2 linked regions of the Canis lupus familiaris genome follow. The protein of the gene in region 1 interacts with the protein of each later gene in a pairwise test. Links are inferred from orthologs where the notes say so. Each region holds a gene or a part of one and is shown on either strand. Other genes may lie near its edges.

What was found. The genes of interacting proteins can lie anywhere in the genome.
Region 2: the proteins of STK16 (region 1) and RPIA interact in binary tests that used the Homo sapiens proteins (3 or more experiments, as listed by UniProt). The two-hybrid records come from large-scale screens. The link is inferred for Canis lupus familiaris from reciprocal best matches to the Homo sapiens genes STK16 and RPIA.

What each region holds. Positions count from the first base shown.
Region 1 is NC_049258.1:25,666,952-25,674,462, reverse strand, and holds STK16 (serine/threonine-protein kinase 16), read right to left. Parts: upstream 4,857-7,511; 5' UTR 4,762-4,856; intron 4,460-4,761; 5' UTR 4,356-4,459; coding exon 4,270-4,355; intron 3,681-4,269; exon of another isoform or gene 3,666-3,680; coding exon of another isoform or gene 3,657-3,665; intron 3,462-3,656; coding exon 3,242-3,461; intron 2,978-3,241; coding exon 2,844-2,977; intron 2,670-2,843; coding exon 2,549-2,669; intron 2,422-2,548; coding exon 2,326-2,421; intron 1,906-2,325; coding exon 1,784-1,905; intron 1,669-1,783; coding exon 1,530-1,668; 3' UTR 1,195-1,529; downstream 1-1,194. Other genes in the region: GLB1L (beta-galactosidase-1-like protein), read left to right, coding at 6,239-6,307, 6,483-6,649, 6,895-7,045, 7,213-7,273. UniProt on the Homo sapiens protein: Membrane-associated protein kinase that phosphorylates on serine and threonine residues. In vitro substrates include DRG1, ENO1 and EIF4EBP1. Also autophosphorylates. May be involved in secretory vesicle trafficking or intracellular signaling.
Region 2 is NC_049238.1:38,096,838-38,103,846, reverse strand, and holds part of RPIA (ribose-5-phosphate isomerase), read left to right. Parts: exon of another isoform or gene 1-6; intron 7-1,979; coding exon 1,980-2,044; intron 2,045-3,216; coding exon 3,217-3,285; intron 3,286-3,985; coding exon 3,986-4,127; intron 4,128-5,701; coding exon 5,702-5,801; intron 5,802-7,009. UniProt on the Homo sapiens protein: Catalyzes the reversible conversion of ribose-5-phosphate to ribulose 5-phosphate and participates in the first step of the non-oxidative branch of the pentose phosphate pathway.

The sequences.
Region 1 (7,511 bases):
GAAAGATGCAAGTTTTCACTTCCTTTCCAAGTGGGAGTCTAAGTCCAGCACAGTTTCTGTATTTGAGTTAGATTGCTAGCCCGTTTCTTCCTGCTGCTGCTGCATTCACCGACTCTGGAAGCTTGGCCCGGGCACCTCTGTGCGTGATGAGGGCTTGGGAGCGGGGCTGGGCAGGCCCACAATTCCTGGGCATGGAGCCTAGTCATGAGCTTGGGGGATGGGAGGGGACGAGGGCAATCTCCTCAAGTTGTTTGTGTCGCCGCACCTCTGAGCAGCTTCCCACAGCTGTCTCTCTCGCTGCATTGCTGGGGCCTAGGGCTGTGCCATTAAAAGTCAGGTCGTCTCCCCTCTGTTTGTTCTTTATTTCTGGCCTCAGCCTCTATGCTAGCCTGGGGAGCCTCCCGCCGGGCCCTGGGGAAGATTCCAGCATTGCTAATAGGCACCCCAGGACCCATATCGACGTCAGCACGTGGGGGTGCACACTGCTGGGGTGGGGGCAGTCGGGGAGGAAGCTTCAATCTCAGGAGCAGGTGATGCCAGCCCTGCCCCTGCGTTCCCCTCCCTGGTGATTCAGGGACGCAGTGCCCTTCCCTAGGGAACAGGTTTCAAGCCCGGCAAAGGCAGGGCCCCTGTTTACTCAGCAGAGTAGGGCAGGAAGTGGCAGCTGGATACTGCTGCACCACACTGGCCTCATTAATCATTAACCGTGTGTGAGCTAGAACCCTCTGGGACAGACTGGGCCAAATGGCTGCCACCTCCACTCCCCTTGCCCCCAGGCCGAGGCTGGGAGAGACCTGTTAAGTTGCTGTCAGGAAGCTTCCTCAGGTGTCTCCACCCAGAAGCCCTAGCCTGGCAAACCGGCTGGGCTGCTTTGACTCAGCTACCCACTCCTGGGAATGAAGGGAAGAACAAATTCAATGTGCTTCTAGGGGGCCCTGGTCCTACTTCTTAGCAGAGAAGCCAGCTCGATCCAGAAGAGCTTTAAGTTTTTGACTAAGACAAGCTAGGACAACTGACTCCTCCCAGCTAGTCAGATCTAAGGTAGGGACACCTGCCTCCTTAGGCAGAATGGCGAAGTCATGCCATTCCTCATTAGGCCAGTCCCTCTTCCCAAGCGGTTCCCTTGGAAATGGCAACCAGACCCTGGGCCCCGGGCACCTCTTCTCTTTCATTCCAGGAACAATGAGACTAAGATCCACACCAAGCTGCTTTCACTTTATTCTTCTATTTATACATTCTCCTGCTCCCAGATGTGAAGGCAGACCATGATGTAAGCTCAGCAGTCCTGCTCAGAGCCTTTCTAGATTCTATCCATTTCCCCTTCCCCATCTCCTACCCTCGTCCACACCCAGTCAGTCCCCTGTCCAGTTGTTGTAGAAGCAAAGAAATAAGACTGAGCTGACAGTTCCCATCCACTTGTCCCCGATGCCAAGAGAGCAGTCCTGGAGACACCGGGTGGAGATTCTAATGAGGGATGAGAGCCTCCTTCCAAGGCACAGGGCCACCTCTCAACGTAGCCATTGGTCTGTTTAGATTTGGGTGGTATGTTGGCCTGAAGCTGGGGGTTGCAGTGCCTCCAACTGACTGAGGAGGAGAGAGATGGGAGGGCGCTCCTGGGGGTCTACAGTCATCATTGAGGCCAGCAGCTGCCGCAAGGTTGAAGAATGCCTGTGGAAGGAGGCGGGCAGGGTGACTGGAGGGTCCTCATTCCCCATGCTACGGTTCTAACTCCACTAATGCCAGTGAGGAGTCTGAAGTGTTTCGTACCCCTTTTATTGCTCACCTGGGGCTCTGCGGGATGCTGAGTTGGTTCTGCACAGCAAGGGCCACACTGTCACCCTTCTGGAACACCATGTCATATGGGCCTTCCCCAAACATCATGGCATACAGCACGCAGCCTAGGGACTGAACATAACTTGGTTATTACTTGACAAGGGACCAATAGAAATGATCTCTTTCCTCTGGACTCTGTAGTGAAAGGTGACTACATAAGCTAATAAGAATAGGCTGACCTCAGCCCCATGACACCACCAGGGTCCAGAGAAAGCACCAGCTAGCTGGAGGCTTCTGCACCCCCTGCTTGCCACTGCCTTCAGTCCTGACACTTAGCTGTACTCATTCTGTTCAAAGGGAGGAATGATACCACTTCCTGAGCAATTGAGTACAGTGTCAGTGACGGTTCCCAGGAAGGAAGTCGAGGGGGATGGGGACATACACGGTTCCTGGGGCCCCATGCAATCGAAACCAAAGACCTGCCCCTCTGCTGCACAGCAGGTACAGAGCGGTACTCCTCCCCATCCATGTGCCCCCCCACATGCTCCTCACCCAGACATCAGTCCGCTCATCAATGACACAGTGGCTCTGCACGGAGAAGAGCTCTGGGGCGCGGTAGGAGATGGTGCATCGCTGGGCTGCCCAGTCCTGGAAGAGTGGCCCCATAGCTCAAAAGAGAGGCACAGGTCATAGTCATGTGACCAAACTGGGGCATGCAACAGGAAAGGCTGAGGATGGGGAACAGGAGGGCAAAGGAACCTGGACACTCTTTTACCTGCAGGGCCAGAGCCTGGCGGGAGCCTTCCACATGGATGCAAGCTTGATTCATGGAACCCAAGTCCATTAAAACTGGCTGCCCCTCATCTCCAAGCAAGATATTGGTGGGCTTCAGGTCCCTGCAGGAAAGTGGAAATAAATGGCCCATGAACATCCCTGGATAGGGAGACTAGAATCCCTGGGGGCAAAAGAATCATGGGGACTGTTCCTTGGGAGGAGAGCAGAGACCACTCAATCCTTTTGGTGAGGCTCTTTCTTTCTGCCCCATAAGCACACTGGGCCCTCCCACTGACCTGTGGGCATAACCTCTGGCATGAATGGCCTCAAGGCCTCTGCAGATACCCAGCAGCAGCTGAAGGATTTGATCTTCAGTCAAGAAGTTGCCTTTGTCCTTCAGCCTTTCTATCTCGTTCCACAGCGTACCCCTCTGCAACACAAGTTTCCCCACGGTTGGACAGGTTTTCTGGGTCTCTGCTCCCTCAGCCTGATCCCTTCCCTGTGTCACAGCCTAGCAGCTCTTTCACCACACACACTACACACCTCACAGTCCCACTTGGGTTCCCCTAAACCCCAAATCTGAAGCGGTCCAACACAGGACATGGTCTCTGCTTCCTAACGTGCTTGGCTACTCACACAGCCCTCGGTAGATGACTCTGTTGCAAGCCCCTCCATTGCCAGGAGACTTTCTGACCTTGAAGAAGGGTAGCAGCAGCCAGGCCTCATGTTTAGTGCCCCGCTCCCTCAGACAATAAGCCACAAGGCGGAGGATGTTGGGGTGATGGAAGAGGCGATGCATGTCTGCTTCTCGTTGGGCTTCCTCCCGATCCTGCTGCTCGTGACACAGGATCCGCTTCAGGGCGTAGAAGTGTCCATCATGTAACCCCTCCACTAGGTCCACATAGCTGAACCCACTGTGGGCCAAAGGGGTCAGTGAAGGACCACGGTCATCTCCCACACTGCTTGGACCCAGAGGAACTCCCTGGGTGGGGAGGGGAGGGGGTGTCTTTCCCAGTCAGCAGAAACCCTCCCAAGACGTGGCTTCAGGAGAAGTCTGAAGATTTTACACTTTGAGCTCAAGGGTAGGAACACAGCAATCTTTGAGGTACCTTGGTCATAATGCACAGCTCTGCACGTGACAAATGCTCCGGAAATGTTACATGAGTAAGTAACAGTCAACATCTGTCAAGTGCTGTGAACCGGGCCCTGGGTGAGATTATTATTATTATTTTTTCTCTTTTTGGTGAGATGATTTCTATGCACTATCTCATTTAATCCTCACAACTCCATCAGCGACAAAAGATAATTATCTCCAGGGCAGCCCGGGTGGCCCAGCGGTTTAGCGCAGCCTTCAGCCCAGGGCCTGACCCTGGAGACCCAGGATCGAGTCCCGCATCGGGCTCCCTGCATGGGGCCTGCTTCTCCCTCTGCCTGTGCATGTGCGTGTGTGTGTGTCTCTAATAAATAAAATCTTAAAAAAAAAAAAAAAAAGATGATTATCTCCATTAAGCAGATGATGAAACCACGGCTTAAGGTCACACCAGGTGGAGCCAGGAGGCCTGGCTCCAGAATCCACTTTCTTGGCATTCGGGTTGCTAGGCTCTGTCAGGGGAGCTAAAGGATGCTTTACAAGGATGAACCTCCTGAGGCCCTATCACGTGCAGACTGCTGTCCTTCACTCACCAGAACCCTGGGGGCTGGCTAGGCGATTTCAACACTCACCCCTCCCCCAGTTTCTGGATGAAGAGGTAGCGCTTGTTGTCAATGAGGACGGTTCCCCGGGAGCAGACACACAGCGCGTGGCCCATAGCGCCTCAGTCATCCTCCTCAGGGGCGGTCCGGGGCTGCCGACGGCCGCGTGCGGGCTGAGGGGGCTCTTCCAGGCGACGCGCTGGGGGCCCCGCGGATCATGCTGGAAGGCAAAGGACGGCAGGGTCGTGGGCCAGGCACGACCCCCGAAGTGCCGACGTGCAGAGCTGGCGCCCGGGCCTCGGAACGCAGAGGAAACGAGCCTTGGCGACGCCGGCTCGGGCACGGCCGAGGTCGGGTGCCCTGGAGCCTCGGGCCACGCCGCGACGCCCAGGCCGCGTCCTCGCCGTCGGGCCGCCTCGGCAGCCGCGGAGCGTGGGGGCGAGGCCCGGGCCCACCCGGCGGGGCCCGCCCCGGCCTCGGCGCGCAGAGCCCCGGGAGGGCCGGCCCCGACTCCCCACTGACCTGGCTCCGGCCGGAGACGAGCGCCGCGGACCGGAAGGAGCGTCTACGTCATCAGGCCGCGCCGGCGTAACGGCCCGCGGTATCCTAGCAACCGCAGGGCATCCGGAGGATGTGGGGGCGCGGAGCTGAGAGGCCGGGGGCGGGCTAAGGCGCGGGGGAGCACGGGTCCCGGGACCCGGTGAGGGTTCCACACCAGGCCTTCAGTAGTGGGCAGGACGCAGGCACCCGCGCCCAAGGGGAGCAAAGCCGGGCTCGGCCCGAGGCCCCCCAGGCCCCCCGTCTCCCAATGCCGGAGGTAGGAAGCTGCAGTCCAGCCCCGAGGGGCGGGGGCCGGGCGGGGGCCGGCGGCCTGGACCCCCACAGCGCCGATCGGTGCACCCTTCGGGGCTCAGGCCTGCATCCCACTACCCTAGTTTCAGTGGTTAAGAGCTTACTAGCTGCGTGACCTTGGACGACTTAACCTCTCAGAGCCTCGGTTTCCCCAGTTGTAAACAAGCTCTAACAGTACCTAAGGTTAGGTGCCCGTACGGGGAGGCCAGGCTGCAGCTCCCAGCTCTGCTAAACTAGCTGCGTGACCTTGAGCAGACTATTTAAAATTTCTGCCTCTCAATTCCCTCATGGGTAAAATGGGAGTGATAATTACCAACTGCACGGAGCTTTTTGAAGATGAAGTGAGATGTAAAGTGCTTAGCACACTATCTGACACAGCCTTGGTGTCAATAAATAGAAGTTGCTGTTATTTTTATTATGATTCTATTTTTCTTATCCTGGTCCTTACATCCCAGGCTTGGGATTGTGAAGGCAGGAGTCATGGAAATTCATAAATTCCCAAGCCTTGGCCCCAGGTAGTTGTTCTTGACAGCTCTCGCTGAGGCAGGGCAGGGATAAATTGAAGAGCGGTGGACATCCAAAGAAGACAGAATGGCTGAGGTGGTCTCTTTTGCTGTAGCAGGGCCACTAGGAGAAAAAAAAAAAAATCCCATTTATAACTTGGTTCCTACTTTCACACCACTGGGAAGATTGATTCCGAACCTGTTTTAGCCCCCTGGTTCCGACATTCATTCATCTAGATTTAACCTGCTATGTACCGAGTCCCGTGCTAGAAGCTGAGGATGCAAGATGGACAAGGTACTCTTCACCCTCAGGGAGCTCAGTTTAGTACCACAGTGCTTCTCAATCTTGAATGCCTTTCGGATCGCCTGGGAATCTTGTTAAAATCCAAATTCTGATTCTAATAGGTCTGAGGTAGGACCTGAGACTCTGCATTTCTAACAAGCTCCCAGGTGATGCTGATGAAGCGGATTCAAGATGTAGAGGATCTTACAAACTAGTAGAGTAGCGCGGGTGGACAAGTCCAGGCTAATTGCCTGGTGACTTGAGGTGGTCTCCGCCCCCTTGCTCGCTGAGGTTCCCTCCCAGGAATCCACCACGTGACAGCCGGACCGCCCTCTCTGAATAGAGGAGCCCTGTTAGCGCCATGGCTCCCAGGAAGCGGCTCTGCCTTCCCGTCCTGCTGTTGCCACTTCTGTCCCTGCTGCTGCCCCAGGTAAAATGACAGGATTGAATCGGCAGGCTGGGCGTGGTGAGGCGGGATGAGATCCAGCCCAGGAGAGAAAGTGAAAATAACAGAACAACAGGCTGGGCTAGTTCCATCTCCTCTGCAGACTCTGACCCCTCCCTCTGTTCCAGGCCTCTGCTGACCCCGGGCTCTCTCTTTGCAGGCAGACAATCGGTCGTTCATAGTGGATCGGATAAATGACAGATTCCTTCTAGATGGGGCCCCGTTCCGCTACGTGTCTGGCAGCCTACACTACTTTCGGGTACCACGGGTGCTTTGGGCAGACCGGCTTTTCAAGATGCGAATGAGTGGCCTCAACACTGTACAGTTGTAAGCAGTGCTCAGGACAAGCCATGGAGGGTGGGATTTACTCTTCCTACCACCCCCCGTCAAAAGGGGATTGGGACAGGAGGACTAGCTGGGTATGAGAGCTCCAGGGCTTCCAGGCCAAGGGTGGGAAAGGGTGGGCCAGGACCTCCTTCCAACAGCTTCCTGGAGATTCCATGCAAGGCCTGAGCCCTTAGGCCTCTCCAGCACCTCCCGCCTTGGGCCCTGTTAACCTTTTTCTTTCTCAGTTACGTGCCCTGGAACTACCATGAGCCAGAGCCTGGGGTCTATAATTTTAATGGCAGCCGGGACCTCTTTGCATTTCTGAAAGAGGCATCTCTAGCGAACCTGTTGGTCATACTGAGACCAGGACCTTACATCTGTGCAGAGTGGGATATGGTGAGTTAGAAGGGATAGAACCAGAGCCACTCCTGTGCAGTTCCTTCACTCCCCCCATCTGCCCACACTGTAGGGCCACTTCCAGTGCTATACTCAATATCCTCCCTTCATACCTCTTCCACCCCACTCCCAAACAACAAAACCTGCTGTCTTTATGTTTGTCGCAGGGGGGTCTCCCAGCCTGGTTGCTTCAAAAACCTGAAATAAATCTGAGAACCTCAGATCCAGGTGAGCTGAGACAAAAGTTTCAACACAGAAAATAAAAGCAACCGATAGGAACACAATGAGTCATTTGGGTGCTCAAAACTGAAGAGACCATCCCCAAACTGGAGATCATCCATGCAGATATTTGAGTGTTTCCTTCATGCCTAGCAAGATGCTACAAACTGACACCGGGCAGACCCAGTCCTTGTGTAGTGGGGCTTATGGGGAAAGAAACAGGTTTGTTGTTTTTGTTTTGTTTTTG
Region 2 (7,009 bases), on another chromosome or scaffold:
TTGAGTCTAGGAGAAAGGTCAGTGAGTCATACTAGATTTTCTCCTGGGATTTTGAGTATTAAATTTGGCTAAGGTCACAAGAGGAGAGGTTGTTAGTTTCCAGTACATTCCCCGTGGTTTAACCCTGAGGGCTCAGTATGAGTGTAGTGAAGGGGGATTGGACAAACCCAGGGCTGGACCCAGAGCTTCCGGGGATCCTTATACAGAGGTATGAGTGAGCCAGCCCACGGAGTTTACCACTAGGTGGAGATAAGAAGTAATCATCTGAGGCAGCCATGGAATTTGCAAACAGATTATAATTAAGTGTTGTGGCAAAGATGGTTATTAAACACATGGGCAATTCAGAGGAAACTGAACTTGATGAGAGTGAGCAGCATATTAACAACTAGCTTTTACTGAGCCCTTCCTGTATACTAGCTAAGTACTATGTTTGTATTCAACTACTTAATATCTCCAGTAGTCTTGAGGGTGCATACCATCATTACCCCATTTTACAGGTGTGAAAAAGACAGAGAGGGCAAGTCATTTGTCAAAGCCACGCTTTCTGTAATTGGTAGAGCCTGAATATGAATTCAGATGCTTTTGGCTCTAGAGCAGTGCTACTAGGTTTTGTGGGGAGAGGTGAAGTTTGAGCAGAACTGTGAAGGCAGGGTGGCCATGGCAGGAGAGAGCATTCCAGAGAGGAGTAGATGAGAACCAGGGGCATTGGGCATATGTGGATAACCCCCAGGCTGGCTGGAGTGGTAAGGACCGAGTGAGTGGTATGCATTGGTGCATGGTGGGAGAGGAGAGGCTGGACTGGAAGAGTGGAAAGGGGTTATGGCAGCTTGAGAACCAGACTGCAGATGGGGACCCGATGGTCTACTAGTCTGTGTTGTCCTGGTACACGTGGGCCTTAGAGAGTTTAGTAAGAACCATGGGAAGGGCTCACTGGGGGATTTCTGTGGGCAGAGCCAGGGCAGAGTGTGAGTCAGTGTTCAGCACTGTGAGAAGAGTGGTTTGGGCTGAAGGTAGGCCTGGAACTCACACAAAGAAGGTTGCAGCCTTCCAGGCCCCAAGAGTTGCCATGATGTAGCCTGGCCCTGGGGTTAGCGCAGGGTGTGGAGAAGCAGTATAGCCTCTCTTTTCAGACAAAGAGCAGAATCTGAAAGCATGGAAACAAGGTGAAGCTGAAGCTTTGTGCACTTTATACTTGTGCCATGCCAGGCAGCTTAAACTGACTTGTACCCTGAGGTTTCTTCATACAGCTGCTTTAAATAACCATACTTAAGACTCCCACACTGTCTACTTGGAGTCCAGGAGTGTCACGAAATACTTAGCTTCCTTGATTTCAGATCTTGAAAGATGAATGAACCCACCTGCCCCTGACTGCTCCTGGGGTTGGTGGTAGAATTTCCTAATAGTGGGAGTGGGCATGCCCGGACAGGTGCTTTGGCGGGGTCATAGTCAGGGTGCCTCAGATAATTTCCAATTGCAGATCAAATGTGTGTCAGCTTTATAACTCTTCATTGGGTTTTCTCTCTGTGCTGGAAACTGCCTTTCTTTTTGCCACTTTAGCATGGAGACTTCTGAATCAGTGTTTCTCGGCCTTTTTTCTGTTGCCCCCCTCCAGTGAAATTTTAATACCACAGGTATACTGTGTATCTTTTCTGTACTTGGGGGTGATGTCACCCACATTGGGATTGTGTACTCTTAATAATTCTAGCTCATCCACAGAGATGCCTATCAATGAGAAAAGGGAGTGTAATGTGGGTAAGAACTAGACCCATGTGTGGCTTCCAGGCTCCATATTTAGTGGACCTTAGTGGAATAGCTTAACCTCTCAGAGCCTGTTTTTTGACTGATTAAATGGGAATAACTCTACCTAACTAATAGGGCTGCTGAGGATCTGATGAGTTATTACATGTTCAAGCTTTGCACAGAGCCTCCCCTCTAATGGCTCTCAGTAGTTTCTGTATCTTTCTTCTCTCCTCCCACAGATTGACCTCGCAATTGATGGTGCTGATGAAGTAGATGCTGATCTCAATCTCATCAAGGGTGGTGGGTGAGTGTTGTGGGGACTTTCTTGCTGAGGAGTATCTGCCAGTTAATCCTTAGCAAAGCAAGGTGGAAGACAGAATAAACAAATGGCCACTGTGATGTATGTGAGCTTGTCTTTTTTCTAGGAAGTTGATGGTTGTTAGAGCCAGTTTGGCATTTCTAGTTATGAGTAGCAGTCTGCTGACCAGGAACCTGGGTCTCTTCAGTGAGATTATTCATCTTACTGAGTTCTCTGTATCTGCATTCTTCTGCTGAATCAAATTTTAATAACTGTATGAATTAAACCAGATATATTGTTGGGGTAGATTATTAGGTCTGTGGGAATTAGTGTGTGATCTTTGCTTAAAGCTGCTCTTAACCTCTGTGAGCAGTTAGTTGTACATGTATTTATTCACTTGGAAAACATTTATTGAGTATTTCTTAAATGTTGATTTGGGGGTAGGGAATGGTGGATTGAAGAAGGCCAAGTCCTGCTCCGCTATTGTAATTAAGCAGACTGCAATGACACAACATGTTTAGAATCATACCGTACACTCTGCTTCATCACCCCAACTGTCAAATAGTAGATAGGAAAGGTTGTTCAAAGCTTGTCCTTCTTAAGTTATAGACCCTTCCATTCATGCCATGCTCAGATGACTTTTCCTTGAGCACAGATATATTTTAGATAGGAGTATGCCTGGCCTGACTGGGATCCATTTCTCCCAGACATAGGCTCATTTACCAGAAGCAACATGTCTTAGCTCAGGCTGCCTTAACAAAATGCTGTAGTCTGGGTGGCTTCAGCAACAAGTAATTTTTAAGAATTCTGGAGACTTCTGGCTTGAGTTGGCTGCCTTATTATCATTGTGCCCTCAGGGTGGAGAGAGAGCAAGTGAGCTCTCTGGTGTCTGTTCTGTTAAGGACATTAATCCTATCAGACCAGACTCCTCCACCCCTCCAAACACTTTTAACCATAATTACTTCTTAAAGTAATGTGCACTTGGGAGTTATGGCTTCAATATATGGAATTGGGAAGGACACAGTTTAGTCCATTGCCCAGCATGATGGAGTTGAGGATCTTTAAAAATTATAAATTCAATTTATCATTAAGTAGATTTGGGTTTCCTGTATCTGACCTTAGTTTTCAAATTGAGTTTGTGTCCGACCCTGTATTCACTTGCCTCTTCCCATCCCCAGAGGCTGTCTGACCCAAGAGAAAATTGTGGCCGGCTATGCCAGTCGCTTCATCGTGATCGCCGACTTCAGGTACAATGTTGAGTGTTCTGAGCTGTCCACTGGGGGCGGAGGTAGATCACACCCCAACCTCATCCCCATTTTATAGAGGAGGATAGAGAAATGGAGGGGCTGTCTGGCTTTCTGAGACTGATGGCTAAGACTGAGGGAGTGTCTTGAAGGATTTTGTTCCATTTTCATACTGAAGGTACATATTGCTATGTTTTGTGTCCATTGGAAGGAGGAGGAAATAGCTTGTCACTCTTGTGACAAGAGCATGTCCTCATATATCACTCATTTGATCCTTGTAGGAAGGACAGGCCCTGCCCACGGGCAGTGACTCAGCATGTTCTGCTTCCTCTGGACACATAAATGTGTTGTGCAGAGTCTCTGACCAGGCTCTCAGATTCTCCTTCAAGGAGTCTGGTAGATGGTGCTTATGCTGAGCATGTTAATTTAAAAAAAAATTGTATTGACTTACAAGATATTATTACTGTAGAAAGAACATAAATAATAAACACCTGGATAGCCACAAGCTAGTCATAACCAGTTTTAACATTTTTAAAAGTCATACTTATTTGAAATACCTAATTTCTTAACTAGTAAAACAGCTCAAACATTAGCAGCCCGGTGTGTTTCCCTGCTCTCTGCCCACTTACTACGTCTGAATTTGGTGTTTGTCTATACCATTGAGCTTATTTATATTTATTGTACTTTCTGACTTTCTTTCCAGGAAAGATTCAAAGAATCTCGGGGATCAGTGGCACAAGGGAATCCCCATTGAGGTCATCCCAATGGCCTATGTTCCTGTGAGCCGAGCTGTGACCCAGAAGTTTGGGGGCGTGATTGAACTTCGGATGGCTATCAACAAGGCAGTAAGTGGTCAGGGAGGTTTCTCAAGGGCATTCTAGCTTCTTGATGTGGTGTCCTCCTTTTTGTTTCAGTTAGGTCCCTCTGAGTATAGCCTGGGTAGTCAGCTTTTATTTATTTTTATTCAGATTATTGGTTTATTTTTAGAGTACTAGCTTTATTAGTTCCTATATTCAAACTCGTGTAGATGATATGACACTTAATGCAGTGCATATTCTCTGTACAAGTGAGGAATTGATTCTTTTTCTTGGTCCCTTGGGGTCTTATGGTCCTCAGGTGATTGGATCTTTGTACCTTGTGGTCTGGACCACCGTGCTTCCCAGTGGCTAAAAATGGCTTTGGGAGGCACCCCAGGGCAGGAAGTTTTCCAGGTTCCATGGTATAATTTTCCTTTTCTCCTCTTACTTCATTCTGTGACAAGAAGTAGAATTTCCTGGGGGATATGAACTCTTCCTTAGGAATACGCTTTGGAAACTTAGTGCAAATGTTTCTCTTCTACTTCTAAAGTGGGCTGCACAGAACTTTTTTTTCCTCTTACACTTAAATAAACAAGCAAAAGTAATAACCCAAAAGCTAACTGTATTTATAGACATGACTTTATAACAGGTTTAGAAGATACAGAAGAGAAAACAGATTATCTGTGACTTTACCCTGATGCATTTTTATGTTGATTTTTTTTTCCTAGCGTTTTTCTGATGTTTTAAAAATCAGTCCTAATTCTAGTGGTTATGCAGAGCTCTGGGTCTAGTTCCCTCTGTAGCTGAGAGGTTCGGAGGAGACTGTTGGAGAAGGGGGTTCTCTCTCATGGCTGGGGTGACTCCAGACAGGAACCCAGCATCCTGCCTTCTTGGGGCTCTTCACTGATCTCCCATCCCCTCACCTCCAACCTGCAGGAGCAGCCTAGTTTCCTTGCCTGTGACTGTAGTGCTCTGTCCACATTTGTGGTCCCAAATGCCTACTAGTGCCCAAAGCTGTGGAGGAATTTTGGGTTAATTATCTAAAACTACCCTCTGCTCTTTTTTGGAGCCCAGAACACGTCTCTGCTTCCTGTTTTGGTGGGACTGCCTGCGAGGTGAAGTGATGGGTGCAATAGCACTGCCTTATTTTTTACTGGGCACCTAATGTGAAGCAGTGAGAATGTCCATGTGGATAGTCTGCTTCTGTTGTTCTAGTTTTTCATTCTAGTAATAGCCAATTGGCTATTATTAGCCAATTAGTGAACCCGTCCTATGAGCCCTCACTGTGGTAAGTGCTTACCCCTATGGTTTATACATAAACTGCTTTCTCAAGTATGTATCATTATCCTCTTTTTGTAGTTGAGGAATCTGAGGCTCACAGAAGTTAATAGCTTCTCTGAGCCTCCTCTATACCTATGTGGCTTCAAGACTCAAATTTTGATGCCAGAGTTCCTGCTCATTACTTCTTCATAGCACTGCCTTCTAGAAAGCAGGAGGTGGGGTACTGGCTGGAGCAGGTTAATTAAGATACTTGTCTGTGGGCATCCCCTTCACTTTCTTGCCCCTCTCTCTGCCTACCTGTATTTATAACTTCTGTAAATGTGGAAAATCATACCTTCTAGGGTCCCGTGGTGACGGATAATGGGAATTTTATCCTGGACTGGAAGTTCGATCGGGTGCACAAGTGGAGTGAAGTAAACACAGCTATCAAAATGATCCCAGGTAAATGTGATCCCAGTAGTGTTCATTGAGAATAGACACCCAAGCACTTTGTAACTGTCCCCTGCCTCTGGCCATAGGAGGCACAGTGGGTGTGGGTTTTGTAAGACTTGGTTAGAAAGAAGAATTTCCTTTGTGCTATGCTTGGAGTTTCTGACTTCATGCCTTTGATTCCTCCCCAGCCCCCAATAGTTATTGCTTACCTAGCAGCTTTTGGTTGTGCATTTACAACCCATTTTAGTTGGGAGAGGCCTAGAGCTGATGGAGTATCAGAGGGGATTTGCCTTAAAATAAGCTCACCCTCTCTGCATAGAGCTTTCCCTTACAGAAGCTTAACTATAGCCTCTTTCATTTCAAGAAGTAGGCTGTCTTCTTGAGCAGTGGGGAATAATGACTGTTCACCCACACTCATTAGATATGTACCACAGGCCAGTGCCTGTGCCACATGTTACAGGAAATGCTCCATCTATAGAACTTGGAATCTGACTCGAGGAGAGTTCACATATACCTAGGGAGAGTGTGCATGGCTATGTAGAAGCCATACCTACAAATAAGATGGAATGCTAAATTTGCTAGAGAAATACCAAGAGTCTAGAGTGCATATAGGTTGCTTCCTTTGGAGAGTGTGTGAGAAAGTTAAGGAAGAGAGGTGGCTTTTGATCTATGCTTTGGCATAGTGTAATCTAGACATTGCATTAAGTGTTTAAAAATGTCTTATTTGATTGTCCAGTTGGATGAGATAGTTATAAAGGAGAACATGGATCATGGAAGATTACATGACTTGCCCAAGGGCTACAGTGCCAAGAGGGAGTCCTTATTTCCTTGAGTTGAGGAGGGGTGGTATGGCATGAACATTTGGGGTGGGAGAGCCTCTAATGCTAATAGTAGGGGTCTGGGGCCGTGGGTGAGGCTGGGTGGGCAGTGTAGAGGTGAGTCAGGCATCCAGGCCAGAGGAGGTATCAAAGGTCCATGCAAGGAGATTGGATGGAGGGAGCAGATGTGAGAGACATTAGTCTTACGATTTTGAGAGACAAAGACTGACTGGGAATAGTCCATGGCATAGAATATTCTTGGGCCAGAACAAGCTAATGGGGCAGGTAAGATCAGTTTAGCAGATTGTAGTGGCTAATAGTAAAAGAGCAGACTGCCTGATGGGGTTCCTAACCCAGCCTCACTCTGCCAGTGTGAATTTTGTGCAGTTATGTCTTTGT